4 linked regions of the Anolis sagrei genome follow. The protein of the gene in region 3 purifies or fractionates together with the protein of the main gene of each other region. This does not show direct contact. Links are inferred from orthologs where the notes say so. Each region holds a gene or a part of one and is shown on either strand. Other genes may lie near its edges. The genes, in order: ANAPC2, ANAPC7, ANAPC1 and LATS2.

Evidence for each region.
Region 1: the proteins of ANAPC1 (region 3) and ANAPC2 fractionate together in Homo sapiens (co-fractionation; 8 studies listed by BioGRID and IntAct, with this or other methods). This does not show direct contact. The link is inferred for Anolis sagrei from reciprocal best matches to the Homo sapiens genes ANAPC1 and ANAPC2.
Region 2: the proteins of ANAPC1 (region 3) and ANAPC7 fractionate together in Homo sapiens (co-fractionation; 6 studies listed by BioGRID and IntAct, with this or other methods). This does not show direct contact. The link is inferred for Anolis sagrei from reciprocal best matches to the Homo sapiens genes ANAPC1 and ANAPC7.
Region 4: the proteins of ANAPC1 (region 3) and LATS2 purify together in Homo sapiens (affinity purification with mass spectrometry; 3 studies listed by BioGRID and IntAct, with this or other methods). This does not show direct contact. The link is inferred for Anolis sagrei from reciprocal best matches to the Homo sapiens genes ANAPC1 and LATS2.

The regions. Positions count from the first base shown.
Region 1 is NC_090031.1:15,871,979-15,879,241, forward strand, and holds the start of ANAPC2 (anaphase-promoting complex subunit 2), read right to left. Parts: upstream 3,002-7,263; 5' UTR 2,984-3,001; coding exon 2,918-2,983; intron 1,011-2,917; coding exon 367-1,010; intron 1-366. Other genes in the region: microtubule nucleation factor SSNA1, read left to right, coding at 3,107-3,158, 6,296-6,495, 7,036-7,146. UniProt on the Homo sapiens protein: Together with the RING-H2 protein ANAPC11, constitutes the catalytic component of the anaphase promoting complex/cyclosome (APC/C), a cell cycle-regulated E3 ubiquitin ligase that controls progression through mitosis and the G1 phase of the cell cycle.
Region 2 is NC_090034.1:42,384,106-42,391,876, reverse strand, and holds the start of ANAPC7 (anaphase-promoting complex subunit 7), read right to left. Parts: upstream 3,017-7,771; 5' UTR 2,888-3,016; coding exon 2,787-2,887; intron 1-2,786. UniProt on the Homo sapiens protein: Component of the anaphase promoting complex/cyclosome (APC/C), a cell cycle-regulated E3 ubiquitin ligase that controls progression through mitosis and the G1 phase of the cell cycle.
Region 3 is NC_090021.1:24,115,024-24,122,846, forward strand, and holds the start of ANAPC1 (anaphase-promoting complex subunit 1), read right to left. Parts: upstream 3,013-7,823; 5' UTR 2,841-3,012; intron 690-2,840; 5' UTR 666-689; coding exon 453-665; intron 1-452. UniProt on the Homo sapiens protein: Component of the anaphase promoting complex/cyclosome (APC/C), a cell cycle-regulated E3 ubiquitin ligase that controls progression through mitosis and the G1 phase of the cell cycle.
Region 4 is NC_090023.1:28,496,238-28,504,135, forward strand, and holds the start of LATS2 (serine/threonine-protein kinase LATS2), read right to left. Parts: upstream 3,003-7,898; 5' UTR 2,743-3,002; intron 1-2,742. UniProt on the Homo sapiens protein: Negative regulator of YAP1 in the Hippo signaling pathway that plays a pivotal role in organ size control and tumor suppression by restricting proliferation and promoting apoptosis.

The sequences.
Region 1 (7,263 bases), on a different chromosome or scaffold from region 3:
TTCTGGTGACAATCAGAAATGGAAAGGAAGAAGGAACGGGTGTAGAACACAGAAGTCTACAAGCAAAGAGAACTGGACATACAGGCTGGGAATTATGGTTAATATTCCTTCCATTTGATGCTTGGGGAGACTAGTTGTTGCTCTTGGATCCTTTATCAAGCATACCTTCCCCTTCTGGCGACTTTCAGACATGTCAGAAAACAGCTCCCCCATTTTCTTAACAATTATCCACCAACTAGGAAAGCTGAAGGAAAGAGCAGCATGGAGGTCAAATCTCACAAGAGGACCCCCAGGCCCCCTTTCATCCCTAAGTCCCCTTCACTCCATCATCAGACCCCCCTCCCAAAAGCAGACAATTGTACTTACAGAATACTGTTGAGTTGCTGGAAGTGCTCCACAGCTGTTACGCACCAGCAGCGCTCCCTCTGACACCCGCACCCGGCGCACTGGCTTCCTTTTCTGGCAGGCTCTCCCAAGATCTCCTCCTCCTCCTCACTTTCTGCCTGGTGGTCCTCACTCATGCCGCTCTCCCCCTCGGACATCCTGGGCTCCCGACTCCTCTTCCGCCACATGTAAATCTTGAAGCTGCGGCCATAGAACTGCCGAACCATCTCCCCGAAGCTATGAGGGGTGCTGAAGAAGAGGACGGCCCGAAGCAGGCTGTGTACCTTGGCCCTGAGCGGCTGGGCGCCCGTCCCGAGGAGCAAGCCCTCCTGTGTCCAGCCCTCCATCATGGTCAGGCTGCGCAGGTAGGGTTCCAGCCGGCGCCAGAGGAGGGAAAAAGCATCCAGGATCAGGAGGGAGCACTGAGCCTCTTCGGCCGTGTTCTCGTGCTGGGACACGCCGCTCCAAAACTCGGGGGAGATGCGCGCCTGCAGATCCATCTGCAGTACCTCCAGGAACCACTCCTCCAGCGCTGAATGCAGGCCATGGGCCTTCAGCACCTCTACCGCTGCGTGAAGGTCCCGCTCCGATGGGATGTCTGCCGGCTCCGACTCTGGCACCAGCGCCTGGGAAACCACAAGAGGCAGACTTAATGGAGAAAGCTTTGAAGACTGAGCCAGAGGTGCAAGGCATGAGGCGTCCCTTGCTATCTCTTTTAGCCATTCTATGTTGTTGTAGGTTTTAAAGGGTCATTTGTATTGTTTATAGCCTTTTGAGTCACTTTGAGGCCCCTTTCATTCATACAGCCAAATGAAATCCCACATTATCTGTTTTGAACTGGGATATATGTCAGTGTGGATTCTGATGTTTCAGCTCAAATCAGATATGTCATCAGTTGGGAACCCCTCCCCCAGCACTAACTGCTGCTCTGGACCAGAGTGAAGAGAGATGGGACCAGGGGACAGTTCCATCTTGTCTCCTGCATATGTCATCAGTTGGGGATCCCCCCCCCCCCCCCGCAACAACTGCTGCTCTGGGCCATAGTGAAGGGGGGGGGGCATGGGACAGTTCCATCTTGTCTCCTGTGCTATGCTAATAATATAAAATAGTATAATATAATATAATATATTGTATATACATATAATATTTATAATATTATAATGTAATGCAATATAATACTACCACTAATAATAATATAATATTATAAATATAAATATATATTTATATTATATGTAATATTACTAATAATATTACAATATAATGGTATAGTACAATAAAGTAATATTTAATACTGATATTATACTATGCTAATAATATAATATATTGTATGTAACTTGTAAGTCGCTCTGAGTCCCCTTCGGGATGAGAAGGACAGCATTAAAATGCCATAAATAAATAAATAAATAAATAAATATTCTGCCTTGATATTCTGGATTATATGACTGTGTGGAAAGGCCCTGAGTCTTGTTAAGAGAAGAAAGCGGGACGTATAACATTATTAACAACTACAACAATAACAACAGCACATGCCCCGTCAGAGACAGAAAGTTCACAAAGGAGTGGGAAGAAGAAAGGACAGCTACAGCCCATGTTGGTGCAGCAGATGGGCTGCACTGCTGAACTTGCTGACCGAAAAGTGGTTCGAATAGCGAGGTGAGCTCCGCTGTTAGCTCTAGCTTCTGCTAACCTAGCAGTTAGAAAATATGCAAATGTGAGTAGATCAATAGGTACCGCTTCAGCAGTCATGCTGACCACACGATCTGGGAGGCATCTACAGACAACGCCAGTTCTTTGGTTTAGAAACTGAGATGAGCACCACTCCCCAGAATCGGACATGACTAGACTTAACGCCAAGGGGAAACGTTTACCTTTACTTTATACATACATATAGACAAACAAACACACATATATGTCTTGTTATACATACACACACCCATATATATCAGTGGTTCCCAACCTTTTCTTGACCAGAGACTACTTTGGCCAGGTAGCACTCTCCAACATTAGTACCAAAAGGGTTACGAATCAGTTTTTGGTCAATTTTAGATTCAGTTTGGTTATCTGGGGTGCTGAATCAGAAAATTGTATTGGATAGACCACATCAGCTCTAGTTTCTGATACAGAACATACGGCATCCAGTAGTCGCCATCTGCTCGCTCACATATTTAAACCATATTTAACTAGCCTCGGAACTATTAGAGGGTTTTGCGAGACCAGTTGCTCCCGTTGCAACAGTGTAGTAATGGTGAGGCTGTGGACCATATTTTAGGTCTTGCGGACCACTAGTGGTCCACGGACCACAGGTTGGGAACCACTGCTATACATGACCCATGAGATGTCTTCCAACTCTATGATTCTATATAATAATAAATACAATATAATGTATTATATACCACACAATAAAACATAACATAATATATTCCATACTATAGAACAGGCATGGGCAAACTTGAGCCCATGCCTGCCCGACCCTTCACGTGTCACCTGAGGCCAGTTCACACGTGACCCCCGCTCCCCCCGTGGCTGCTCGTACCAGGCCCAGGGCGGCGGGCGGGACCAGGCCCGTGCTGAGGGCGCGCCAGGCGGCGGGAAAGGCCATCCCGGCGGAGGCGGAGGAGGCGGGCTCCGTTCTGAGGCGGCGGCCGTTGAGCGGAGAAGAGGAGGCGGAGCTCTCCGCGGCGGGAGGGAGGAAGGAAGGAAGGCGAGCCCGCGGAGACGGAGGATGACCCAGCAAGGGGCCGCCCTGCAGAGCTACAACAACGAGCTGGTCAAATGTGCGTCGCTCAGGCTTCGGCCGGAAGTGTAGGCCTCGCGTTGCTATGGAGACGCGGCCTACTGTGGCCGGCGTCGCAGAGAGACCTTTGGGGCCTTTTCGGGTCGGGGCTCGGAGTCAGAAAGCGGGGACACGTGGGGAGAAAAGGGAAGGAGAGGGGTTTGGGGTGCCTCCGCACTATTAAGGGGTGAAAACGCTTCAACTGTGGCGTCCCTTCTCCCGCGTGGGCTCCTGGGAAATGTAGTTTGGGGCCTAGAACAGCGCGAACACTTTGTTTATCCAGTGACGTCATGACCCCGCCTTCCTTTCGCCTCCAATAGAAATTCGAGGCGGGTGGCACAACACAGGGCAAAGGCAGATAGATAGATTTCATTAGATAGATAAATTAAATTGATTGATAGATGGATTAGATAAATAGAGTGATAGAGTAGATTAGATAGATAGATTAGAGAAACAGATTAGATAAATTAGACAGATTTGATTGATTGATTGATTGATTGATTGATCGATCGATCCATGGATTAGATAGATAAAATGATAGGTAGATTGATAGATTGATCAGATAGATAGATAGACAGAGAGATAGATAGATTAGAGAGATAGATTACATAAATTAGACAGATTAGTTTAATCAATAGATGGATTAAATAGATAGAATGATAGGTAGGTAGATAGATTAGTTTGATAGATTGGATAGATAGATCAAAGAGACAGATTAGATAAATTAGACAGATTAGATTGATTGATAGATGGATTAGATAGAATGATCAATAGATTAGATTGATAGATCAGTTAGAGAGATTTTTTAGATACATTAGACAAATTAGATTGATTGATGGATTAGGTAGATAGATTAGATTGATAAAACTAGATAGCTAGATCAGATAGACAGATTAGATAAATTAGACAGATTAGTGTCATTGATAGATGGATTAGATAGATAGAATGATAGGTAGGTAGGTAGATAGATTAGATTGGATAGATAGATCAGATAGACCAGAAAGATAGAGAGATAGATTAGATAAATTAGATGGATAGATAGATTAGATTGATAGATTAGATAGCTAGATCAGATAGATAGACAGATTAATTAGACAGATTAGTGTCATTGATTGATGTAGATAGATAGAATGATAGGTAGGTAGGTAGATTAGATTGATAGATTGGATAGATAGATCAGATAGACCAGAAAGATAGAGCGATAGATAAATTAGATGGATAGATAGAATAATAGATAGATTAGATTGATTGATAGATAGATTAGATAGATCAGATAGATTAGAGAGATAGATTAGATAAATTAGACAGATTGGTTGATTGATTGATTAGTTGGATTGATAGATGGATTAGCTAGAGGAGATGATTAGATAGATGAGATTGATTTATTAGATAGATGAATTGATAGATACATAGATGATAGGTTGATTGATTAGATATATAATAACAACAATAATAATCTTTATTTATATCCCACCCCATCTCCCCAAAAGAATTCGGGTTATCTTACAGCATAAATAAATACAATAAGTAATATATACAAAATAAATAACAAATCAGCGAAAAAGGGAAAACAAAAAAAATAGACAAATTAAACAATAAACCGTAAAAAAATAAATTAAAACACAGTGGTTCCAATAAGTTAAATACAAGCCAAAATATCCTAATCAGCATATATCCATAACACTAAAACAAAGACCTCGTCCACTTTATTTATTTTTTACGACATTTATATGCCGCCCTTCTCACCCAGAAGGGGACTCAGAGCGGCTTACAAGATATATATACATACAATATATTATATTATTAGCATAGTACAATATCAGTATTATATATTACTATATTGTACTATACCATTATATTGCAATATTATTATTAATATTACATGTAATATAAAACATATAATTTTAATATTGTATTATTAGTAGTAGTATTATATTGTATTACATTGTAATATTATAAATATATGTATATACTATTATATTATATTATACCTATTATTAGTATAGCCTGGAGACAAGGTGGAACTGCCTTCCTGCCCCCCCCCCTTCCACTGGCCCAGAGCAGCAGTTAATTAAAAGGTATTAACCTAATCATTTTCAAAGTCCTTCTTTCAAAGTCCTCCGAACATATTCCCCCCTACGAACCATCAAGATTACTAAGATCGTCTGGAGGGGCCCTGCTCTCGGCCCCACCGGCCTCACAAGCACGGCTGGTGGGAACGAGGGCCTTCTCGGTAGTGGCCCCGCGACTCTGGAACTCTCTCCCGCCAGAGGTTAGAACCGCCCCAACAATCCTGACATTCAGGAAACAGGCGAAGTCGTGGTTATGGAGACAGGCTTTCGAAGAATGAGACAATGATCTGGATGGAAGACGGTGTATATTCGATTTTAGTATGACGACTGACCACTGTAGTTTTAAATATATGTGCTTTTTAAATGTTTTATTGTAATGTGTATTTTGATATTTTACCGATTGTATGTGTTTTTATGGTTGGAAACCGGGCTGAGTCCCTCTTATGAGGTGAGAAGCTCGGTATATAAAACTTTGAAATAAATAAATAATAAATAATTCTTAAAAGTCGTGAGAGTGGCTGCTTGTCTGATCTCCTTGGGGAGAGCACTCCAGAGCCGGAGCGGGGCTCTGTTGAGAGGGCCTTTTCCCTCGTTCCCACCAACCTCACTTGCGACGGGGATGGGATCGAGAGGAGGCCCCCCTCCAGCTTATCTTAAAGCCCAAACGGGTTCATAAAGGGGGATGCGGACATGTAAATAGGGACAACTCAAACCGAAAATTGAGAAACAATTACACGCAAAATATGAAAATTAGAGGAACCAAAGGGTGGGGGGACAGCTTGGAAAGGCACTTCCATGCAGTGTGGACACAACCTTCTTTTGAAGCATCACCTACGGCAGCAGGAAGGATTCACTGTCGGTTTCCCATCCAAGTCCAACCAGGGTGGACCCTGCTTAGCTCCCAAGAGCAATGGGATCTGGTGCCTTTGGGTGTATTTCAGGGCCTTGGCCTTCTCCAAGTGGCCCCTGATTGAGACAAAGGGGCTGGAGTCCCTTAAATGGGCCCATTGGCCATAGTTTGGAGACCCCTGACCTATGCTTTTGCCCTTTCCTTCCATCCTTCTAGGCATCGAGGACCTGTGCCTGAAGCGGGAGGAGCTGTCCAAGCAGATACGTCAGGAGGAGGAGGAGAAGGGCAGGCTCCAGGGCGAGATCCGCACCCTGACCGAGCGCCTGGCCCGCGTCAACGAGAACCTGGCCCGCAAGATGGCCTCCCGCAACGAGTTCGATAAGACCATCGCCGAGACTGAAGCCGCCTACATGAAGGTGCGGGGAATGAGGGGGATGGGGGCTTCTGCTAGGGATCTACACTGCTATATAATCCAGTTTCTGAATTCAGATTATCTAGTTTGAGCTGGGTTATATGAGGCTGTACTGTTGGAAATAGCAACCTATCAATCATCTATCTATCTATCTATCTATCTGATATATCTTATCTATCTAATAAATCAATCTTATCTATCTAATTATCAATCTATCTAATCCATCTATCAATCTATCTAATCCATCTATCAATCTATCTAATCCATCTATCAATCAAATTGTCTAATTTATCTAATCAATCTGATCAATCTATCTGATCTATCTATCTATCTTATCTATCATTCTATCCATCTATCAATCAATCTAATATGTCTAATTTATTAATTTATGTATGTAATTGCTTATTGCATTGTGTATTGGTTTGCAGTTTTCTTTAACTCTTTGTTGTGGGAGGGGCTGCAGACTAAGACTCCATTTTAGATGTTTGTCTAGCCGTAGCCCAAAAAAACAGACATAAAAATGCAATCCTTTCCTGCTTCCCAGATCCTGGAAAGTTCCCAGACGTTGCTCAGTGTCCTGCGGAAGGAGGCAGGGAACCTCAGCCGTGCCACGGGAGCCACGGAATCCAAACCCCCCGCAGCGAAGGACAACTGAAGGGTTGGTCTCCAATCCCTCTGACTCTGGGCTCTTCTCGGGGAGGTGTTTCATAGGCAAAGTAATGTATAATAAAGAGGATTTTGTTTTCCGAAGGCTCCCGTACTTTGTTGGACC
Region 2 (7,771 bases), on a different chromosome or scaffold from region 3:
AACGGGATTATATGACAGTGTACACTCACAGAATCCAGTTCAAAGCAGATCATGTGGATTTCCTGCTTTGATTATCTGGATTATATGGAAGTGTAGAAGAGGCCTAAAATACCCATATTTTTTAAAGAAAACCAAAGCAGTTATTGGTAAGATATCACACTGCTTCTATTTGCCGCTATCATATTTTATGGATTTTCACTGCATTTAAAAATACCCATGACATTGAATTCTGTTGTAATGTCTGTATATTTGCTGCTTTGAAATTCTATTGCAGGCTGTCCAATCTGTACTTCATGGCCATTATGGTACAGTTAAGAACAACTAACAGCCAATGCTTACCCAATTTTTAACGGCGCTGACTACGTTAGATGTTTTACTGTTGATCATGCTTTTAAATGTATTTGTTTAGTGATTAGTTGTTCTATGTTGATATCTTGATATTTAATTTTATTTGATTAGTATAATGTTGTTGTTATTCTGTATTATGTTTTATTGCTGTAATATTTTGGTATATGTCGGGCATTGAATGTTTCCCTTTGTATGTGTAAACTGCCCCGAGTTCCCCGGGGGAGATAGGGCGGTCTAAAAATAATGTTTGTTTATTTATTTATTTATTATTATTGTTGAAATGTGTTTAATGCAAACCACTTTGAGGCACCTTCTACACTTCCATATAATCCAGATTATTGAAGCTGATGATTCACATCCGCTTTGCACTGGATTCTATGAGGCCCCTTCCACAGATGTGAATAAAATCCCAAGTTATCTGCTTTGAACTGGAATATATAGCAGTGTGGACTCAGATATTAGAGTTCAAAGAAGATATTGTGGGATTTTCTGCCTTGATATTCTGGGGCCCTTCCACACAGACCTATATCCCAAAATATCAAGGCAGGAAATCCCACATTATCTGAGTGTGGACTCAGATAACCCAGTTCAAAGCAGATATTATGGGATTTCTGCCTTGTTATTCTGGGATATAGGGCTATGTGGAAGGACCCTCAGACAGGCCCTTTATCCCAGGATCTGATCCCAGGTTTTCTGCTTTGAACTGGATTATATGAGTCCGCACTGCCAGATAATCTGGAATAAATGATAAATGTCATTGGAGTATATGTCGTCCCCCCTCTGTGGGAAAGCTTGATTCCACAACTCTGCTATAATGAGTTCTCCTCCACAAATAATCTGTCTCTTTTTATCTCACCAGAGTTTTAAATTAGTTTTAATTAGTCTCTTTTAATCATTACATGCAGCCCGCCCACTGTCATTGTGATTGCGTCTATTGTAACTTTATATTATTATTGTTACGTATTTACATGTTTTATTTTATTACAATGTTGCTTTTACCATTTGCGTTTTATTTTATTGTAATTTGTTGTTCGGGTTTGGCCTCATGTAAGCCGCTTCGAGTCCCCATTGGGGAGATTATTATTATTATTATTATTATTAAACTTTATTTGTACCCCGCTAGCATCTCCCGAAGGACTCGATGCGGCTTACAAAGGCCAAGGCCTCAACACACAATATAACAATACAAAACCTAAGGCAAATTAAAAACAATTAAGGCAATATAAACAATAAGCAATCAACAATATATTAAGACACAATAGAACTGGGCCGGGCCAGAGTAATGGGTACAAGATTGAAAGTGCTGATGTGACAGGTGGTATATAAGGCTTATAGGGCAAGTGCAGAGTGCGATGTGCAACAATCTTGGTTCTAATAAAGTGCTTATGGGACTTGGTATTGGAGATTTCCTAATCTGGGAAGGCACATCAGAACAGCCAGGTCTTCAAGTTCTTTCTGAAGACTGCCAATGTAGGGGCCTGTCTAAGATCTTTGGGGAGGGTGTTCCAGAGTCGGGGGGCCACCACAGAAAAGGCCCTGTCTCATGTCCCCACCAAACGTGCTTGCGACGCAGGCGGAATCACGAGCAGGGCCTCTCCAGATGACCACAGTGAACGCGTGGGTTCGTAGACGGAGATGTGGTCACGCAGGTAGGATGGTCCCAAACCGTTCAGGGCTTTGTAGGTAAGCACCTGCACCTTAAATTGGGCTCAGAAAATAAACGGCAGCCAGTGGAGCTCCTTGAACAGGAGGGTTGACCTCTCTCTGTAAGGAGCGCCAGTTAACATCTTGGCTGCTGCCCGTTGGACCAGTTGGAACTTCCGAGCTGTTTTCAAGGGCAGCCCCACATAGAGCGCATTGCAGTAGTCCAATCTGGAGGTGACCAAGGCATGGACCACCCCGGCCAGATCAGCCTTCGCAAGGTACGGTCGCAGTTGGCGCACGAGTCTCAATTGTGCGAAAGCCCTCCCGGACACCGCCGACACCTGAGCCTCAAGCATTAGCGATGAATCCAAGAGGACTCCCAAACTGCGGACCTGTGGCTTCAGGGGGAGTGTAACCCCGTCCAACACAGGTTGGTGGCAGGGTACAAATAAAGTTTATTATTATTTATTATTATTATAAACAGAAAACCTGGGATTAGATCCTGGGATAATGGGCCTGCCTGGAAGGCCCTTCCACACAGCCATATAACTCAGGGCCCTTCCACACAGCCATGTAACTCAGAATCTCAAGGCAGAAAATCCCACAATATCTGCTTTGAACTGGGTTATCTGAGTCTACACAGCCATATATTCCAGTTCAAATGTGGGATTTGATTCAGCTGTGTGGAAGGGTCCTCAGTGTGCCTGCAAGGCTTCTCCACCAACTCTCCTTTGGGTTGAAAGCGGGTCGGAGGCCACCAAGCCTCCCGTGTCGGCCTCCAGCGCCTCACTCACGGGTTGTTGCCGCTCATCGTAAGGAGGAGGCCGCTCAGGAGCCTCACGTTGGAGTGCAGCCCCGCCGCTGCCATCTCCCGAACATGGTCCACCACGCTCATGGCCTCGGAAAGACTCGACAGAGGGACGGGAACGAAAAAACAGCGTACTTCAAGTCGGCCGTAACGGACAGAGTCCTCTCAGCAAGTCTAAAATGGCGCCTCCCCGAAGGGTCCTCGCCGAAAAAGCCGCCCTGACACTTCCACAACAACCCTCACCGAGGAAAGGCTGCCCCCGGCGTTCGCCTGTCAGCCTCAGGGGGAACTTCCATTCTACGCATTGCGGGGTTACTCTCCTACTTCAGCTAACTATAACTTTCCTCCTTTTTTAAAAAAATTAAAAAGTCCTTTGCAAAGGGGTGATTTTTAAAATAAAACAAAACCAGGCACTGCTGTAGACACCTTTCCCGAGTCGTGACTATGGAAGCGAGAGACGAGCGAGGGAGGTGTTGAGCATGCGCGGCGAGGCACGGAAGGCTGCTTGTGTCCTTTTTCGGAGAAAAGCCTCTCTCAGTGTTTCTCAACCTTCCTAATGCCGTGACCCCTTCATACAGTTCCTCATGTTGTGGTGAACCCCAAACACTTTTTTCCCGTTGCTACTTCATAACTGGAATTTGCCTACTGTTATGAATCATAATGTAAATATCTGATATGCAGGATGTATTTTATACACTAGGCTAAATTAGGCACAAATACCCAATACGCCCAAATTTGAATACCAGTGGGGTTGGGGGGGGGGGGGGTTGATTTTGTCATTTGGGAGATGTAGTTGCTGGGATTTATAGTTCATCTACAGTCAAAGAGCATTCTGAACTCCACCAATGATGGAATTGAACCAGACTTGACACACAGAACTCCCATGACCAACAGAAAATATTGGAAGGTTTGGTGGATATTGATCTTGAGTTTTGGGAGTTGTAGTTCACCTACATCCAGAGAGTACTGTGGATTCAAATAATGATGGATCTGGACCAAACTTGGCACTAATACTCAATATGCCCAAATGTGAACACTGGTGGAGTTTGCGGAAATTATACCTTGATCTTTGGGAGTTATAGTTTCTGGGATTTATAGTTCACCTACAATCAAAAAGCCCCTTGAATCCCACCAATGATAAAATTGAGCCAAACTTCCCACACAGAACCCCCATGACCAAGAGAAAATACTGTGTTTTCCTATGGTCTTTGGCGACTCCTCTGACACCCCCTTGCGACCCCTCCGGGGTCCCAACCCCCAGGTTGAGAAACACTGGCCTATATCCTTAGGGCCAGAAGGCATAACAGTAATTCTTTTCAATTGGTGAAACCCGAGGATGTGGACAAGATACTTGGAAGAATGAGGCCTACCACGTCCATCCTGGACCCCTGCCCATCCTGGCTTCTAAAGGAGGCCAGAGGGGGATTGGCTGAGTGGGTTGAGGTGGTGGTTAATGCCTCCCTTCGGGAAGGCAATATTCCAGCGAGCTTAAAACAAGCTATAATAAAACCGCTGTTGAAAAAACCATCACTGGACCCCCCCTAAATTTGACAACTTTCAGCCAGTGTCCAATCTCCCCTTTTTGGGCAAAGTCCTGGAATGCGTGGTGGCCTCACAACTCCAGGTATTCTTGGTAGACACAGATTATCTGGATTCGGCACAGTCTGGTTTCAGACCGGGACATGGAACTGAGACAGTTTTGGTCGCTTTAGTGGATGATCTACGCCGGGAGCTCGACAGGGGGAGTGTGTCCCTGTTGGTGCTGCTGGACCTCTCAGCGGCCTTCGATACCGTCAACCACGGTATCCTTCTGGAACGCCTCGCGGGGATGGAACTTGGAGGTACTGTGTTACAGTGACTCCGGTCATTCCTAGAGGGCCGATCCCAGAAGGTGTTATTGGGAGACACCTGGTCAACCCCACAACCGTTGTCTTGTGGGGTTCCACAGGGTTCAATACTGTCTCCCATGCTGTTTAACATCTACATGAAGCCGCTGGGAGAGATCATCCGTAGTTTCGGGGTACGGTGTCATCTGTACGCAGATGATGTCCAACTTTGTAACTCCTTCCCACCTGCTACTAAGGAGGCTGTCGAGGTCCTGAACCGGTGTCTGGCCGCTGTAACGGTCTGGATGAGGGCGAACAAATTGAAATTGAATCCAGACAAGATAGAGGTACTCCTGGTCAGTCGCAAGGCTGAACAGGGCATAGGGTTATGGCCTGTGTTGGATGGGGTCGCACTCCCCCTGAAGACACAGGTTCGCAGCTTGGGTGTGATCCTGGACTCATCGCTGAGCCTGGAACCCCAAGCTTCGGCGGTGACCAGGGGAACATTTGCACAGTTAAAACTTGTGTGCCAGCTGCGCCTGTACCTTGGGAAGTCTGACTTGGCCACGGTAGCCCACGCTCTGGTTACATCCCGTCTAGACTACTGCAACACTCTCTACATGGGGTTGCCCTTGAAGACGGCTCGGAAGCTTCAACTAGTCCAACGTGTGGCAGCCATGATTTTAACAGGAGCGGAACACAGGGAGCACACAACCCCCCTGTTGTACCAGCTCCACTGGCTACCGATCTGCTACCGGGCTCAATTCAAGGTGCTGGCGTTGGCCTATAAAGCCTTAAACGGTTCCGGCCCAAGTTACCTATCCGACCGCATCTCGGCCTATGAACCCACCAGGACTTTGAGATCTTCCGGGGAGGCCCTGCTCTCGATCCCGCCTGCTTCACAAGCACGGCTGGCGGGGACGAGAGATAGGGCCTTCTCGGTGGTGGCTCCTCGGCTGTGGAACACCCTTCCCACAGACATTAGACTAGCACCATCTCTAATAGTTTTCCGCAAAAAAGTGAAGACCTGGTTGTTTGAGTAGGCGTTCGAAGAATTAGTGCAATGAACTGTAATGACATAGGAATGGAACAATGGATGACGATTCTGGATCCTGTCCTTTAGTGATGAGACGCTAGTGAATGGTTATTGTAGTAATTGTTTTCTAAGTGTGTAATGTGTTAGGTTGTTAATTGTTTTTATATTGGAGCATTGAATTTCTGCTGTTCTTGTTTGTTGTGAACCGCTGTGAGTCGCCTTCGGGCTGAGAACAGCGGTATATAAGTAGAGTAAATAAATAAATAATCCGTAGAGGCTGAGAGAGTGTGAGTCACCTATTGTGTGGGGATTTGAACCCTCTTCTCCAGAGTCATAGCATCTACACTGTAGAATGAATGCATTTTAACACCACTTTAACTGCCCTGACTCAGTTTATTTATTTATTTATTTGCTATATTTGTATACCGCCGTTTCTCAGCCTAGCCGGCGACTCAACGCGGTTTACAACAACTTATAACAAACAACAGTATACAGTTTAAAAACATAAAAACACAATCCACAGTACATATATCAATAAACAATCCAATTCATCTCTTGACTAAAATCGCGATCCAGTTTCGTCGTCCAAATTGCCAGTCCTTCAATCAATTACACTTATTGCACTGAGTTAACCGAACGTCTGCTCGAACATCCAGGTTTTTAGTCTTTTCCGGAAAACCATCAATGAGGGGGCTGATCTTACCTCCATGGGGAGGGCGTTCCATAGCCGCGGGGCCACCACAGAAAAGGCCCTGTCCCTCGTCCCCGCCAGCCGCACCTGTGAAGCAGGCGGGATAGAGAGCAGCCCCCCCCCCAGAAGATCTTAGGGTCCTGGTGGGCTGATAGGCCGAGATACGTTCGGATAGGTAAGTTGGGCCAGAACCGTTTAGGGCTTTAAAGGCCAACGGCAGCACTTTGAATTGAGCCCGGTAGCAAATCGGCAGCCAGTGGAGCTGGTGCAGCAGAGGAGTTGTATGCTCCCTGCGCTCCGCTCCAGTTAGTATCATGGCTGCCGAGCGTTGGACTAACTGGAGCTTCCGGGCCGTCTTCAAAGGCAACCCCACATAGAGAGCGTTGCAGTAGTCTAAACGGGATGTAACCAGAGCATGGACTACCGTGGCCAAGTCAGACTTCCCAAGGTACGGGCGCAGTTGGCGCACGAGTTTTAACTGTTCCCTTCCACACAGCCATGTAACCCAGAATATCTGGCAGAAAATCCAACAATATCTGTTCTGAACTGGGTTATCTGAGCCCACACTCAGATAATGTGAGGTATTACTCAGCTGTGTGGGAAGGGCCTCAATGCTATGAGACCATGGCAGAGGTAGCTTGATAGGGAAGGCTTAAGACCTTTAGCACCTTGGTATCCCTACGGATGTCCCGGTTCTCAAACACTCTCTGCTTCATTTGGAAAAATGCTGCACTCACAGAGCTCAGGCGGTGTTGTATTTCGGTGTCAGTGTTGACTTTTGTGGAGAGGTGGCTGCCAAGTAGCAGAAATGGTCAACTCTAATGTTACACCATTAAGCTGTATTTCTGGCATTGGAGAGGGATTGGCCGGTGACTGCTGGAAGAGCACTTTGTTTATAAAGCTATTGTCCTCCCAACCCTGCTATACGCCTGTGAGACATGGACTGTCTACAGACATCACATGCACCTCCTAGAATGATTCCATCAGCGTTGCCACTGAAAAATCCTGCAAATCTCTTGTGAAGATAAGTGGACAAATGTCAGCATGCTGGAAGAAGCAAAGACCACCTGCATTGAAGCGATGGTCCTCCACCATCAACTCCACTGGACCGGCCACGTTGTCTGGATGCCCGACCACTGTCTCCCAAAGCAATTGTTCTATTCCGAACTCAAGAACGGAAAGCGGAATGTTGGTGGGCAGGAAATGAGATTTAAAGATGGGCTGAAAGCCAACCTTAAAAACTCTGGCATAGATACTGAGAACTGGGAAGCCCTGGCCCTTGAGCACTCCTGCTGGAGGTCAGCTGTGACCAGCAGTGCTGTAGAGTTTGAAGAGGCATGAATGGAGGGCGAAAGAGAAATGTGCCAAGAGGAAGGCGAGTCAAGCCAACCCCGACCGGGACCACCTTCCACCTAGAA
Region 3 (7,823 bases):
GGAATTTCCCACAATCTGTAATGGACTTCTAAGGAAGGCTACGCTGGCTTTTCCTTGGTTTCCCTTTGCAGACAGATTAATTGTTTTTATTTATTTACTGTAAGGTTTTAACCAAGTTTACTTGGGAGCTGCCTTGGGAGCCATGCCAGAAGAAAAGAGACATATAAGTAATAAATATATAATGATGGAAGACAAGGCTTCAAGTGTTGCTCATCTACAGCTTTATTCCAGGTAAAATACATGTTTTTCACATTTCACTGAGTTTTCATTAAGCAAAGGGATCCACATGCGTGGCATATTTATGAGTTAGTATTTAGGTTAACAGATCATTATGTTTCCCTGCCTTTTCCTTTGCAGCTTTGTATTGCTTTCCTCTGTTCTTTGCTTATCTTTTTTTTTTTTTTTTTTGGTGTAAGTTATACATTTGTATTTTCAAAAGTGCCACTTCCTACCTTGTGTTTCTCATGGATTGTAACTTCCTGAAGCGACCCCACCAAACCAGCTGCTCCATCTGACGACCAAATTTCCGAGGCTGGCTGCAGCTGCCGAAGTTGCAGGTTCAACGCATTAGGATGGTGCTTGCAGTGGTCACGGCCAAAAGGGACAAACTCCTGCAAATCCCCTGCTGCAATCATCATTACCCTCTCTTCATAGATGTTCGACATGAGTTCCAAATATCAACATTATTTCTGAAAAAAGACCAAAATGCAGACAGAAGGTGTTCAACAGTGAAACCATTTTCAGAATGGCAGCATGACCTAAATACCCTATGACACCAGATCCTATCTGAACTTGGAAGGTAAGTAATGTCAGTTCTGATTATTATTTGGAAAACCACTGGCTGTATGTAGGCTATATTTCAGAGGAAAGAAGTACAAATCTACCACCAAGTTTCCCAAGCAATGAAATTCATAAGGTCACCATAACTTGACAGTTGACATATAAATGCAGTCATATTAAGTTATTGTACCACCTAAGAGACAAATAAATTTTACAAATTGTATGCATTTGCTGACTATGCCCACTTTCTTCTACTGCATCTAAAGAAGCAGGCTGCAATCTATGAAAACTTACATCAGATAAAAGTTGCTAATGTTTAAGTTGCCACAATACTTTTGCTCAACATATACACTATGTAATACAAATTTTGTTCCTAGGTTATAATTGTCATTTCCTAATTGGTTCTATCATTAAAAGATGGAAAACAGTTATCAAACTGCAAAAACTTTGTTTTTGCGGGATATCCTGCAACACATTTTGCTCTAGTTTTTCAATGAATATTTTATATCAACCAATTCAACATAGTTTGTGGCAATCACAGAAACAAAGTTTCTGAAGTAGAATAACTACTTTCAAAGTAAGTATTGCACAATTAAACAGGAAATAACACTTTCAAACCAGGAAGATTTTTTTTTCAAATTTTGTTACATAGTATTATCTTCAATTCTGGAGCCCCTGGTGACGCAGTGGGTTAAAACCTTGTGTCGGCAGGACTGAAGACCGACAGGTCGCAGGTTCGAATCCGGGGAGAGGCGGATGAGCTCCCTCTATCAGCTCCACCTCCTCATGCGGGGACATGAGAGAAGCCTCCCACAAGGATGATAAAAACATTAAAATCATCTGGGCGTCCCCTGGGCAACGTCCTTGCAGACGGCCAATTCTCTCACACCAGAAACGACTTGCAGTTTCTTAAGTCGCTCCTGACACAACCAAAAAAATCTTCAATTCTACTACTCCCTTTTCTTTCAGTGCTCTAAAATTAAGGCACCCAGACCACTCAATAGGTGTAAAATGGATTCAGCTAAGATCTGCTACAACCAAACCAAAGGAGTTACACAACAAACAGCCAAGCATAGTGCTTAAGGTGAATGAAGTAATGTTAGAGTTATTTACTGTTAAATAATAAACAACGGCTTACAAAGATGGTAAATGGAATAGAAATGTTTCCTCTTCCCCTTTCTGGCGAACTACCTTGCCACGACTCTGACACAGCTCCGCTGTGCTGTCTTGCACACGTGTTCCCCTCATTAATTCAGACCAGTGTTGTGCAACCAGCGTAGGATCCCAGCTACCATACTTTTGCCAGGGCTTGTTCTCCAGACCCTTGATCATTTTAGACACATTCCAGTGTCAACATCTCCCTCCAATTGTGATGCCCGGAATTGGACACAGTATTCCAGGTGTGGTATAACCAAGGCAAAACAGAGAGGTAGCATGACTTCGCTGGATCTAGGCACTAGATTCCTATTTATGCAGGTCAAAATCCCATTGACTTTTTTTGCTGCTGCATGGCATTGTTGGCTCATGTTGAACTTGCTGTCCACGAGGACTCCAAGATCTTTCTCACACGTACAGTGTTCTCTCGCTACTTCGCGCTTTTAGCAGACTCGCTGTTTCGCGGTTTTCAAAAATTATTAATTTAAAATATATATTGCTGTATTTTTGGTGTTTTGCTTTCGCTCCTCAGTCCTCCCTCCAGCCTTGAAGGGCCTTTTCTTCCTTTCCTTCACTTTAAGTTTATAAAGACTTAGAATAGTGTATAACTACTAAAATAATGTATAAATATTAAATTAAATAGATAGAGCATCCCTACATCGCAGTTTTTCAATTATTGCGGGAGGTCCTGGAACCTAACCCCAGCAATAAGCCAGGCATCCCCCATTCTGGGATGCTGGGATTTGTAGTAGCCAAAGAGTGTGGGTGCCCCACCAAGCTACAAATCCCAGGGTTCAAGTTGTCTCAAGCTGCATTAACTCTTCGACTGAATGAAGGGGAGAGAAGGCGGGAAGCATGGCTGCTGCTGAAAGGGCCCAGGACGAGGGCAACGGAGGCTCGCCCACCTGAGTGACACAGGAAAGGGCGGCGGGCGGCGGGCCTGGGCTCCAGCGGCTCCTCCCCCGTCTCTCCCCGGACAGCAACAACAAGCGAAGTCCTCTCGGCGGCACTACACTCTCCCCTCAGCTTCTCACACGGGCGCCGCCATCTTGCAACTCCCATCACCACCCGCGACAAGGCCGGAGGCGGGGCTAACGGATGTCAGTAAAACGGCGCCTTTGAGGCTTCCCAAGTCAGGCAGGAAGGATGGAGGGAAGCAGAAGAGGGAGACCTCCGTTCTACTGTTCCCATGGCAACAGGCGGCTGGCCTAGGCCCAGCTGCTGTTACTATAGCAACCAGGATACCCTTGTATTCCTTGGCCTTGCTTCTCATTGGGATGCTTGATTTATTTATCCTTGGTGAAAACCTTTTATGGCCCCATCTACACTGCCATATAATCCACTTTTCTGAATCCAGATTGTCTGCTTTGACAATCTGGATCTGCTGTGTTGAGGTTTCAGGCAAGGAAGGGGCAAATACTGGCTAGGCCAGGCCTGGGCAAACTTGGGCCCTCCAGTTGTTTTTATTTATTTATTTATTTTGGTTACTTCTACCCCGCCCTTCTCAACCCAGAGGCGGCTTACAAAGGCACGATTCGATGCCGGCATCAACATAACAGTAGAATAAAAACAATATAGCAGCAATTAAACAATTCACAATCAGTTTCTGCACTGCAACAATAAAACCAATAAAATCGATTTCACCTAATTAACACTCAGCCTTCGCCATCTCATAGTCCAAATACCAATTCCACTTTGTCAGTCCTGCCAGTCCTAGTCGTCTAATTGTCTTTATCTAGTTGTCAGATTGCCCGAAGGCCTGGTCCCACAACCATGTTTTTAATTTCCTCCTGAAGGAGAGGAGGGAGTGAGTTCCATAGGTGGGGGGGCACCACTGAGAAGGCCCTGCTCCTCGTCCCCCACCACCGTCACTTGTGATAGCGGTGGGGTCGAGAGCAGGGCCTCCCCAGATGATCTCAAACTCCGAGGTGGGACGTAGAGGGAGATGCGTTAGGACAGATAACGCTGGACCGGAACCGTGTAGGGTTTTGTAGATCAAAACCACCACCTTGAATTGGACACCAACTCCCACCATTCCTAACAGCCTCATACAGGCATGTAGCCGGGGGGGGGGGGCTTGGGGGGCTTCAGCCCCCCCCCCCCCCAATTTTCATGGTGGTCTGCAAAAAGGCCTTACTGGTACATTATTTAAACTGTTATGTTTATTCATATCATGATCTGATCACCATGCTCAATATATCTCATATGCATGGGGGTATTGGGGTAACAATACAAAAGGTTTGCTAGAGTAGACCCTCTTTCACTCAGACTCAGACTCCTTTCTTGTAGTTTGAAGCCATTTCCCCCCTCAAGCAGCTGAGTGGGAAAAGGAAAGGGCCTGAGGTTGTTAGGAATGGTGGGAGTTGGAAACAAAACATCTGAAAGGCCAAAGTTTGCCCAGACCTGGCCTAACCTAATATTTGGTAGATTCCGAGCACAATATTTGCTAGCTTCCGAGCACAATTCAAAGTGTTGGCTTTGGCCTATAAAGCCCTGAACATATCTCCCACTAAGATCCACCTACGACCCTAAGATCATCCGGGGAGACCCTTCTCATTGTCCCCCCATCATCACAATTGCGTTTGGTGGGGACAAGGGACAGGGCCTTTTCTGTGGTGGCCCCTTGGCTGTGGAACTCCCTTCCAAGCAAAATTAGATCAGCTCCATCCCTCCTGACCTTTCAGAAACAAGTGACATCCTGGCTATAGGATCAGGCCTTTGCAGATTAGGTTGACCGGCTGGCAAAGTGATGGCTTTAATGGACTTAATGGACTGCTTTTAGGGCAATGACTTAAATCGGCGACTGACTGTTTGAATGTTTTTATACTGTTTTTATATTGGTTTTATTTAAATTGTATATTTTTGCTTTTGGTTTTGGTTGTGGACACCATGGTGTGTTGGTTGTTAGCCGCCCTGAGTCCCTCTGCGGAGGTCGAGATACAACGGGATAGAAATGTCCTAAATAAATACAACAAAGATCCGCCTAATTGGCAACAAAGATCCGCCTAGTCAAAGCCATGGTATTCCCTGTAGTCACCTACGGATGTGAGAGCTGGACCTTAGGGAAGACTGAGCGAAGGAAGATCGATGCTTTTGAGCTGTGGTGTTGGAGGAAAGTGCTGAGAGTGCCTTGGACTGCGAGAAGATCCAACCAGTCCATCCTCCAGGAAATAAAGCCCGACTGCTCACTGGAGGGAAAGATACTAGAGACAAAGTTGAAGTACTTTGGCCACATCATGAGGAGACAGGAAAGCCTAGAGAAGACAATTATGCTGGGGAAAGTGGAAGGCAAAAGGAAGAGGGGCCGACCAAGGGCAAGATGGATGGATGGCATCCTTGAAGTGACTGGACTGACCTTGAGGGAGCTGGGGGTGGTAACGGCCGACAGGGAGCTCTGGCGTAGGCTGGTCCATGCGGTCACGAAGAGTCGGAGACGACTGAACGAATGAACAACAACAACAAATAAATAAATCCATTTGAATCTAACACAACTAACTGGACATGCTGCATAAAGTCTACCATATCACCCGGAACTATGGTTTTATAAAAACTATGCAGACCCTCCTAGAAAACTGCAGCTTCTATATGGAGTTTCAGGGCAGGAAAAGTAGGTGGAAGAGGCAAAAAGAAAAAAAAGGTTTACCTCGAGGCAGCCTTCTTGCACCAGCCTTGTTTAACATCTTTACTAAGGATCAGCCACAACCACCACTCACAAAGAGCTTTATAAACGCTGATGACCTTGGCCTAACAACATAAGCAAAAGTCAACAAGCAATTTACTAATCCCCTGAAAGATCTCTCCAGCTACTACAAAGATAACAGAGCTCCCCATGGCGCAATGGGTTAAACTCTTGTGACGGCAGGACTGAAAACCAACAGGTCGAAGGTTCAAATCTAGGGAAAGCATTTATTTATTTATTTATTTCTGGTACTTTTACCCCGCCCTTCTCAACCCCCGGAGGGGGACTCAGGGCGGCTTACAAAGAAGGCAGAATTCGATGCCTTTATACACTACACATAGTATACAAAAATATACAAAAATAAATATACAGAAATATAATTAAAACGATCATCACAGTTAAAACATCAGCAACCGGTGCCCAACATATTATATAAAATATCATATAAAAACATTCTTATAATCAGCGTTTCGTTTCCAGAGTTCCTCGTGTCCAGTCCATTAGTCATTTCCTAGCCATCCATAAAGTTCTCTCTCTATCTGCCCGCCTGACCAAATGCCTGGTCCCAGATCCATGTTTTTAGTTTTTTCCTAAAAGAAAGGAGCGATGTTGCAGATCTAATTTCCCCGGGGAGTGAGTTCCACAGGTGGGGGGCCACCACCGAAAAGGCCCTGCTTCTCGTCCCCGCCAATCTCACCTGTGATAGAGGCGGGGTCGAGAGCAGGACCTCTCCAGAAGATCTTAGACTCCGGGGTGGGACATAGAGGGAGATCCGTTCGGACAGATACACTGGGCCAGAAGCATGGATGAGCTCCCTCTGTCAGCTCCAGCTCCCCATACAGGGACATGAGAGAAGCCTCCGACAAGGATGGTAAAACATCAAAACATCCAGGCGTCCCCTGGGCAACATCCTTGCAGATGGCCAATTCTCTCACACCAGAAGCAACTTGCAGTTTCTCAAGTCGCTCTTGACATGAAAAAAAAACAAAAACAAAAACAAAGATAACCACCTGAAGCCTAACTCTGCCAAGATACAAGTGTGTGCTTTCCACCTAGATAACCATGAAGCCAATAGAAAATTGAAAATTACCTGGGAAGGCCAAGGGCTTGAACACTGTTCTCACCCTAAATATCTCAACATGCACTATGGTATGACTGCCTAATTAGTCACACATGCGACAACTTGTGGCCAACGACTGTATTACAGTGAAAAGAATCCTTATTTTCAGTAGTGCATGCTGAATTAAATGATGTGCCAATAATACATGACTCCTGAAAAGCTTTCTAAAACGTTTAAAGAGGTTTCCGACACTTGCTGGAAATGTAAACAACAAGTGGGGTCTTTCTACCATATGTGGTGGACATGTAAATTGCCAAGAAATACTGGATTCAGTCCATAAGTTGATCCAGAAATTTTTTGGGAAAAATATCCAGGTAAAACCAGATACTTCTTTACTTGGATTGAATGATACAAATTACTATAGTAGATTGTTTCAATATATGATCACAGCAGCCAGATTACTATATGGGCAGAAATGGAAGAACTCAGCACCAACAATAGAAGACTAGATGATAAAAATTATGGACTTGGTGAGGTAGATAAATTAAGCTGCTTATTAAAAAACAAGGAACATTGGAAAAAATGTTGCATGACTGGGAACCTTTTATTGAATTTTGGCATGAAGATGGAAAGGATTGTAAGATTTGAAAACCAAATTGAAAAGGATTTTTGCCCAAGAAAAAATAATACTAAGAAACTTGGAGAGTTATGGGTTGTTGTGTGTTTTCTGGGCTGTATGGCCATGTTTCAGAAGCATTCTCTCCTGACATTTTGCCTGCATCTGTGGCAGGCATCCTCAGAGGTTGTGAGGTTTATCGTCTGGTCTTCTGATCTCTGCTGCTGAATTCTTCCATTTCTGTGCATATAGTAATCTAGCTGCTGTGATCATACATTGATACAATCTCAGAGATCAGACCTCACAACTTCTGAGGATGCCTGCCATAGATACAAGAGAAACATCAGGAGATAATGCTCCTGGAACATGGCCATACAGCCATAACACACAAGAACCCGGTAATTCCATGCATGAAAGCCTTTGGCAATACATTGGAAGGTGATGCCTATGTTATTCTTTGTAGTTGAATGAAGATAAGTCAGAAGTCAAGATTTTCTTCTTTTTTCTTTTTCTATTCTTTCTTTTCTATTTTT
Region 4 (7,898 bases), on a different chromosome or scaffold from region 3:
AAAACAGTACTATTTTTGGCAAAAAAAATATTTTGAAACTTTTTTTGTATTTGACTTTAATGTGGGGGTGGGAGAGAGACTAGTAGTTTTCAGAAATTTGAGGAAGACGTTGATAAATAAAAATTGAGAAGGAACTTCTATGCAGGCCTGTAGCGAGAGGGTGGTTTTAGGGGTTCAACCCCCCCCCCCGAAATGTTTCAGATTTTTTTTAAAAAAACTGGTTTACTCATGAATTTTAACTGGTTAACCAAATCCCCATGCTAAGTCTATGAGATGCAAAAAAATCAAGAGTCCCTCCAGAAATGTAAGCACTATCTCAAGCAAATATTGACAATTTATTCATTATTATTATTACTTGCAGCAATAGCCGATGTAGTGAAGCAACCAAGTTGGGGGCCAGACTTGGTGGAGGTGGTTGACAGGGGTGGAGCTGCAGGCTATTGAAGGTTGCTCTGCCCCCTGCTGTGCTCTTTGCTTCAGCGTGAGCTAGGAAGCAGATTTCAACCCCACCCACCCCCAAAATTTTCAACCCTCCCCAAAATTTTCACACACACCCCCCCCCCCCCAAATTTTCAACCCTCCCCGAAATTTTTTTCTGGCTACGGCCCTGCTTCTATGAATGCCATGTGATGATAGTACTGGGAAAACATGAATAGTAATATCTTATTTATTCTGTTCCAAGATGTCATTGAATCTAAGATCCACCAAATTTTTCAATATATTGATTTTAGTAAAGGTAAAGGTTCCCCATCACCTTTAAGTCTAGTCGTGACCGACTCTGGGGGGTGATGCTCATCTCTGTTTCTAAGCTAGAGAGCTGGCATTGTTCCTAGACATCTCCAAGGACATGTGGCTGGCATGACCGCATGGAGCACTGTTACCTTCCCGCAGAAGTGGTACCTATTGATCTACTCACATTTGCATGTTTTCGAACTGCTAGGTTGGCAGAAGCTGAGGCTAACAGTGGGAGTTCACCCCCTCCCTGGATTTGAACTGTGAACCTTTCGGTCAGTAAATTCAGCAGCTCAGCGGTTTAACCAACTGCGCAAATTGTATTATTACTATTATATTGTATTATAATATTATGATCAGTATTACATGTACATTCAATATATAGCATAGCACAATATTAGTATTATATATTCCTATTTATATTCCACTATTCCTATATATTCCACTATACTGCAATATTATTAGTAATATTACATGTATTATATAGTACAGAATTATTATATTGTATTATTAGTTTATTGCATTATATTACAATATTATGATCAATATTATATATACTTAAAATACATTATATTATTAGCATTGTACAATGTTAGTATTATATATTCCTATATTGTACTATACCACTATACTGCAATATTATTAGTAATATTACATGTAATATTTAATATACAATTAGTATATTGTAATATTATTAGCATTACATTGTATTACATTATAATAGTATTATCAACATTATATATTACATGTAATATATAATTATTGTTTTATTATATTGTATTCTTTAGGATTATATTGTATTACAATATTATGATCCATATTATATGTACATACAGGATATTATTTTATTAGCATAGTACAATATTAGTATTATATATTCCTATATTTTACTATACACTATACTGCAATGTTATTAGTAATATTACATGGACTATATAATATACAATTATTATAGTGTAATATATAATTATTACATTATTATTATATTGTATTCTTTAAGATTATATTGTATTACAATATTATGCTCAATATTATACGTACATACAATATATTATATTATCAGCATAGTACAATATTAGTATTATATATTACTATACCACTATGTTGCAATATTATTATTAATATTACATATAAAATACGATTATCATATTGTATTATTAGCTTAGTACAATATTAGTATTTTGTATTACTATACTGCAATACTATTAGTAATATTACATGTAATATATAAAATACTATTACCATTTTGCATTATTAGTATTATATTGCAATATATTGCAATATTATTATCAATAATAAGTATTCCTACCGGCTGTTAGGAATTGTGGGAGTTGTAGTCCAAAACACCTGGAGGGCCCAAGTTTGCCCATGTATGTTCTGGAGCATCTACACTGCAGAATTAGTGCAGTCTAACACCACTTGGAATGCATTGTTAGGGAGAATTGGTTGGGAACCCCAAGGGCCATCCAGTCCAACCCCATTCTGCCATATAAGACTACACAACCCAAACACTCCATTCTGCCATGAAAAAACACACACAACCCAAGCACTCCCAACAGATGGCCATCCAGCTGCTGAATAAAACCCTCGAGGAGTTAAAGAAGGAGGCTCCACCATGATGATGATTCCACCCCATTCTGCCATGCAGGAATACACAACCAAAGCCCTCCCGACAGATGGCCATCCAGTTGCTGAATTAAAGCTTCAAGGAGTTAAAGAAGGAGGCTCCACCATGATGATGATTCCAACCCCATTCTGCCATGCAGGCATACACAACCAAAGCCCTCCCAACAGATGACCATCCAGCCTTCCACTCCTCCCTCCCAACTTCCAAGAAGGAGCCATTGCAATGCCCGGGGTTTCTCCTTCTCATACTTCCAAGTTGAGTAACTTTTGCACGACAGCTTCCCCGGACTTGTTGCTCCGAAGCAAGGAAGGAAAAGCAAGAAGGGCTTTGGGAGAAGGAAGGAGGAGGAAGGCGCCCAGCCCCACCCCTCCTGCGCTCCTTACCTCCAAAAGGGAAGCTTGCTTGCTTGCTTTCTTTCTTTCCTGGGGGAAAAAGGATCAAGGGGAAACTTCCACCACTCTGGGAACAGCTTGGCTTCTGCTTCGGAAGGCGCCCCGCAAATCATCATATTCGTATTGCTGCCTCTGCTGCTGCTGCTGCTTCTCCATTCTTCTCGCCTCCCTCCGCCTCGCGCCCAGAAATGCGGCAGCAGCCCCGCACAGTTGGGACATTCGCTACATTGTTAGCATTCCTTTCGCCCCCACGTGACCCCCGGGGCCCCGGCGTCATTCCACCGCCCGCCCTTCGCATACCAGCCAGGAGGCGGGGCCCCAGCTGCCCATCAAGGGCTCCGACTGGGCGGGGCTTCGAGTTAGGGCGTTCTGTCCCCGCCCAGCAAGAGTTCCAAAGAGGCGGGGATTTGACTTAGAAGCTCTGTCTCCGCCCATCAAGGGCTCCGAATGGGCGGGGCTTGGAGTTAGGCGTTCTGTCTCCGCCCATTAAGGGCTTGGAATGGGCGGGGTTTGGACTTAGAACCTCTGTCTCCGCTCACTAAGGGCTTGGAATGGGCGGGGCTTCGAGTTAGGGCGTTCTGTCTCCGCCCATCAAGAGCTCCAAATAGGCGGGGCTTCGGCTTAGAAGCTCTGTCTCCGCTCATCAAGGGTGGAATGGGCGGGGCTTGAAGTTGAGCGTTCTGTCTCCGCCCATCAAGGGCTTGGAATGGGCGGGGCTTAGGATTAGGAACTCTGTCTCCGCTCATCAAGGGGTTGAATGCTGGTTACTTCTGGAACCAAAGCTCAAGCAGGGAGCTTTGAGATGGTTGAACAGAAGCTCTCCGAAGCTCTAGGTGCTCTTACTGCCTATTACAGGGGAAACCAGCTGATCCCCAACCCATCTAAAACACAGACATGTGCCTTTCATCTCAAGAACAGACAAGCATCCCGAGCTCTGAAGATCACCTGGGAAGGAATCCCACTGGAGCATTGCAGCACACCCAAATACCTGGGAGTCACTCTGGACTGTGCTCTTACCTATAAGAAGCACGGCCTGAACATCAAGCAAAAAGTGGGTGCGAGAAACAATATCATAGGAAAGCTGACTGGCACAACCTGGGGATCACAACCAGATACGGTGAAGACATCTGCCCTTGCGCTATGCTACTCTGCTGCTGAGTATGCATGTCCAGTATGGAACACATCTCACCACACTGAAACAGTGGCTGTGGCTCTTAATGAGACATGCCGCATTATCACGGGGTGTCTGCGCCCTACACCACTGGAGAAATTACACTGCTTAGCTGGTATTGCATCACCTGACATCCGCCGGGAAGTAGCAGCCAATAGTGAAAGGACCAAGGCAGAGACATCTCCAGCTCATCTCCTGTTTGGGTATCAGCCACCACGCCAACGACTTAAATCAAGACATAGTTTTCTTAGATCTACAGAGACACTCGCTGGAACACCTCAGCAAGCGAGAGTCCAAAAGTGGCAGGCCCAAACCCAGCACCTCAATTCATGGGTGATACCAGATGAGAGACTCCCCCCTGGGCACACAGAAGACTGGGCGACTTGGAAGGCGCTGAACAGGCTGCTCTGGCACCACGAGATGCAGAGCCAATCTTAAGAAATGGGGCTACAAAGTGGAATCCTCGGCATGGGAGTGCGGAGAAGAACAAACCACTGACCACCTGCTGCAATGCACCCTGAGCCCTGACACATGCACCATGGAGGACCTTCTTGCAGCAACACCAGAAGCACTCCAAGTGGCCAGATACTGGTCAAAGGACATTTGATCAACTACCAAACTCACAAATTTTGTATTTTCTCTGTTTGTTTGCTTTGTTCTGTTGGAAATGTAATATAATTGACTGGCTGCCCTGACACGAGAAATAAATAAATAAGGGCTCCGAATGGGCGGGGCTTGGAGTTAGGGTTCTGTCTCCGCCCATTGAGGGCTTGGAATGGGCGGGGTTTGGACTTAGACGCTCTGTCTCTGCTCATCAAGGAGTAGAATGGGCGGGGCTTGAAGTTGGGCGTTCTGTCTCCGCCCATCAAGGGCTTGGAATGGGCGGGGCTTAGGCTTAGGAACTCTTTCTCCGTTCATCAAGGGGTGGAATGGGCGGGGCTTGAAGATGTCTCTGTCCATCAAGAGCTCCAAATAGGCGGGGCTTGGAGTTGGGCGTTTTGGCTGCGCCCATCAAGGGCTCGGAATGGGCGGGGCTTGGAGTTAGGCTTTCTGTCTCCGCCCATCAAGAGCTCCAAATAGGCGGGGCTTGGGTTTAGAAGTTCTGTCTCCGCTCAATAAGGCCTTGGAATGGGCGGGGCTTGGACTCAGAAGCTCTGTCTCCGCCAATCAAGGGCTCGAAATAGGGATGGCTTGGAGTTAGGCCTCTCAAGGGCTTGGAATGGGCGGGGCCTAGAGTTAGGCGTTCTGTCTCCGCCCATCAAGAGCTCCAAATAGGCGGGGCTTAGAGTTAGGCTTCTGTCTCCGCCCATTAAGGGCTTTGAGTAGGAGCCCCCGGTGGCGCAGTGGGTTAAAGCACGGTGCCGGCAGGACTGCAGACCGATAGGTCGCAGGTTCGAATCCGGGGAGAGGCGGATGAGCTCTCCCTCTATCAGCTCCAGCTCCTCATGCGGGGACATGAGAGAAGCCTCCCACAAGGATAATAAAACATCAAAAATCATCCAGGCCAATTCTCTCACAACAACAACAAAAAAGGGGCTTTGAGTGGGCGGGGCTTGAAGTTAAACGTTCTGTCTCCGCCCATCAAGTGGTTGGAATGGGCGGGGCCTAGAGTTAGGCGCACTTTCTCCGCCCCCTCCTCTTGTCTTCCTTGATATCAAGAACATAGATACCTCTGAGTTGCTGTGAGTTTTCCGGTCTGTACGGCCGTATTCCAGAAGCATTTTCTCCTGAAGTTTTGCCCACATCTATGGCAGGCATCCTCAGGGGTTGTGAGGTCTGTTTGAAACTAGGCAAGTGAGGTTTATATATCTGTGGAATGTCCAGGGTGGGAGAAAGAACTCTGGTCTGCTTGAGGCAAGTGTGAATGTTTCAATTGGCCACTTTCATTGTCATTGAATGGCCTTGCAGCTTCAAAGCCTGGCTGCTTCCTGCCGGGGGGGGGAATACTTCGTTGGGAGTTGTTAGCTGGACCTGATTGTATCCTGTCTGGAATTCCCCTGTTTATTAAGAGTTGTTCTTTATTTACTGTCCTGATTTTAGTGTTTCTAAAATACTAGTTGCCAGATTTTGTTCATTTTCATTGTTTCCTCCTTTCTGTTGAAATTGTCCAATGAAATTGGCTACCAGTATTTTAAAAACTCTAAAATCAGGACAGTAAATAAAGAGTAACACTAAAAAAAGAGGAATTCCAGACAAGAATCAATCAAGGCCCGCTAACACTGCCCAACAAAGGATTCCCACAGGCAGGAAGAAGCCAGGCTTGGAGCGGCTTAAGGAGGTGGGCATGTTTAGCCTGAAGAAGAGAAGGCTGAGAGGAGATATGATAGCCATGTATAAATATGTGAGAGGAAGCCACAGGGAGGAGGGAGCAAGCTTGTTTTCCGCTTCCCTGGAGACTAGGACGCGGAACAATGGCTTCAAACTACAAGAAAGGAGATTCCATCTGAACTTTAGGAAGAACTTCCTGACTGTGAGAGCCGTTCAGCAGTGGAACTCTCTGCCCCGGAGTGTGGTGGAGGCTCCTTCTTTGGAAGCTTTTAAGCAGAGGCTGGATGGCCATCTGTCAGGGGTGATTTGAATGCAATATTCCTGCTTCTTGGCAGGGGGTTGGACTGGATGGCCCATGAGGTCTCTTCCAACTCTTTGATTCTATGATTCTATGAAACTGCAAGGCCATTAAATGCTAATCAAGGTGGCCAATTGCAACATTCACACTTGCCTCAAACAGACACGAGTTCTTTCTCCCATGACAGGTGAAGTGGTCTCGAACTACATTTGTCCTATAATGTACATGCACCCAAAGCCCAACTTTTGTCCACTGCAGCTGAGCTGAGGTATTCCTGTCATGGAACCCAGCCTTTTGTTTATCTTGATCTCTGATTCTGGCACTTTGGCTTCCCTTTTCGCTGATAAGACAGAGAAATAACCCACAATTTTGGTATTCCTTGTTAATGGCAATAGTTTGTTGCTGGTACATTGATATTAAATTATACAGATTGGAGAGTTTGGACCTGTTGCAACAAGTCCTAGAATGGGATATAACTGTTTGCTCAATTTAATTCTGAACCCAAAGACCTGCTGTTTATTAATCTCAGTGTAATTAAACACACGGATCAGTACTGCAGCTTCTCTCTGTATGTGGTAACATATATTTCAAATCGCTGCATTCCATAGGGAAAAAAGGGGGTTGCACAAACTGAATATGTTTGGTATTTTCACCGTGCTGCCAGTTACTCGATTCAGAATTGAAGGAGACACCATCTTCTAAATCATTAGGACCTCAGGAAAAAAATTCAGGGCTGAAAGAATGTTGTGGGGCAAAGCAATGCCTTTCACAACCACGGTGGTCCGCGCTCTTGTTACATCCCGAATGTTGTGGGGCAAAGCAATGCCTTTCACAACCACGGTGGTCCGCGCTCTTGTTACATCCCGAATGTTGTGGGGCAAAGCAATGCCTTTCACAACCACGGTGGTCCGTGCTCTTGTTACATCCCGAATGTTGTGGGGCAAAGCAATGCCTTTCACAACCACGGTGGTCCATGTCAGTGGCATCGGCAGCACAGCAAAGCAGGAACAGATCAATCACAGCCACCTTATGCTATAAACTTCTTTATTTTACAGCTATATACATTAGAAGCTACTTAACACTCAGCACATTGTAAACTTGCTTCTTTACTGTCCCATCGTAACATTGTGAACACACAAACTGTTATCAGTACTAGTCCACACCTCTTGCATTCCAGAGTGACGTATGACATACGATGCACAACGCTGCATCCTTTTGTTCTATACGCTTGATTTATGACCTTTCTAGGAATGCCATTCCCTCCATGGTTCAGTTAACTCTTTCCACACAGGAATATATCATACTCGGCACATAGCTACTGCATTTTAAAAATACATACATACATAATTTGAAATCTTCATTATAAATTGCAAACAGCTTCAACAGTCCATGCTATTGTTACATCCTGAA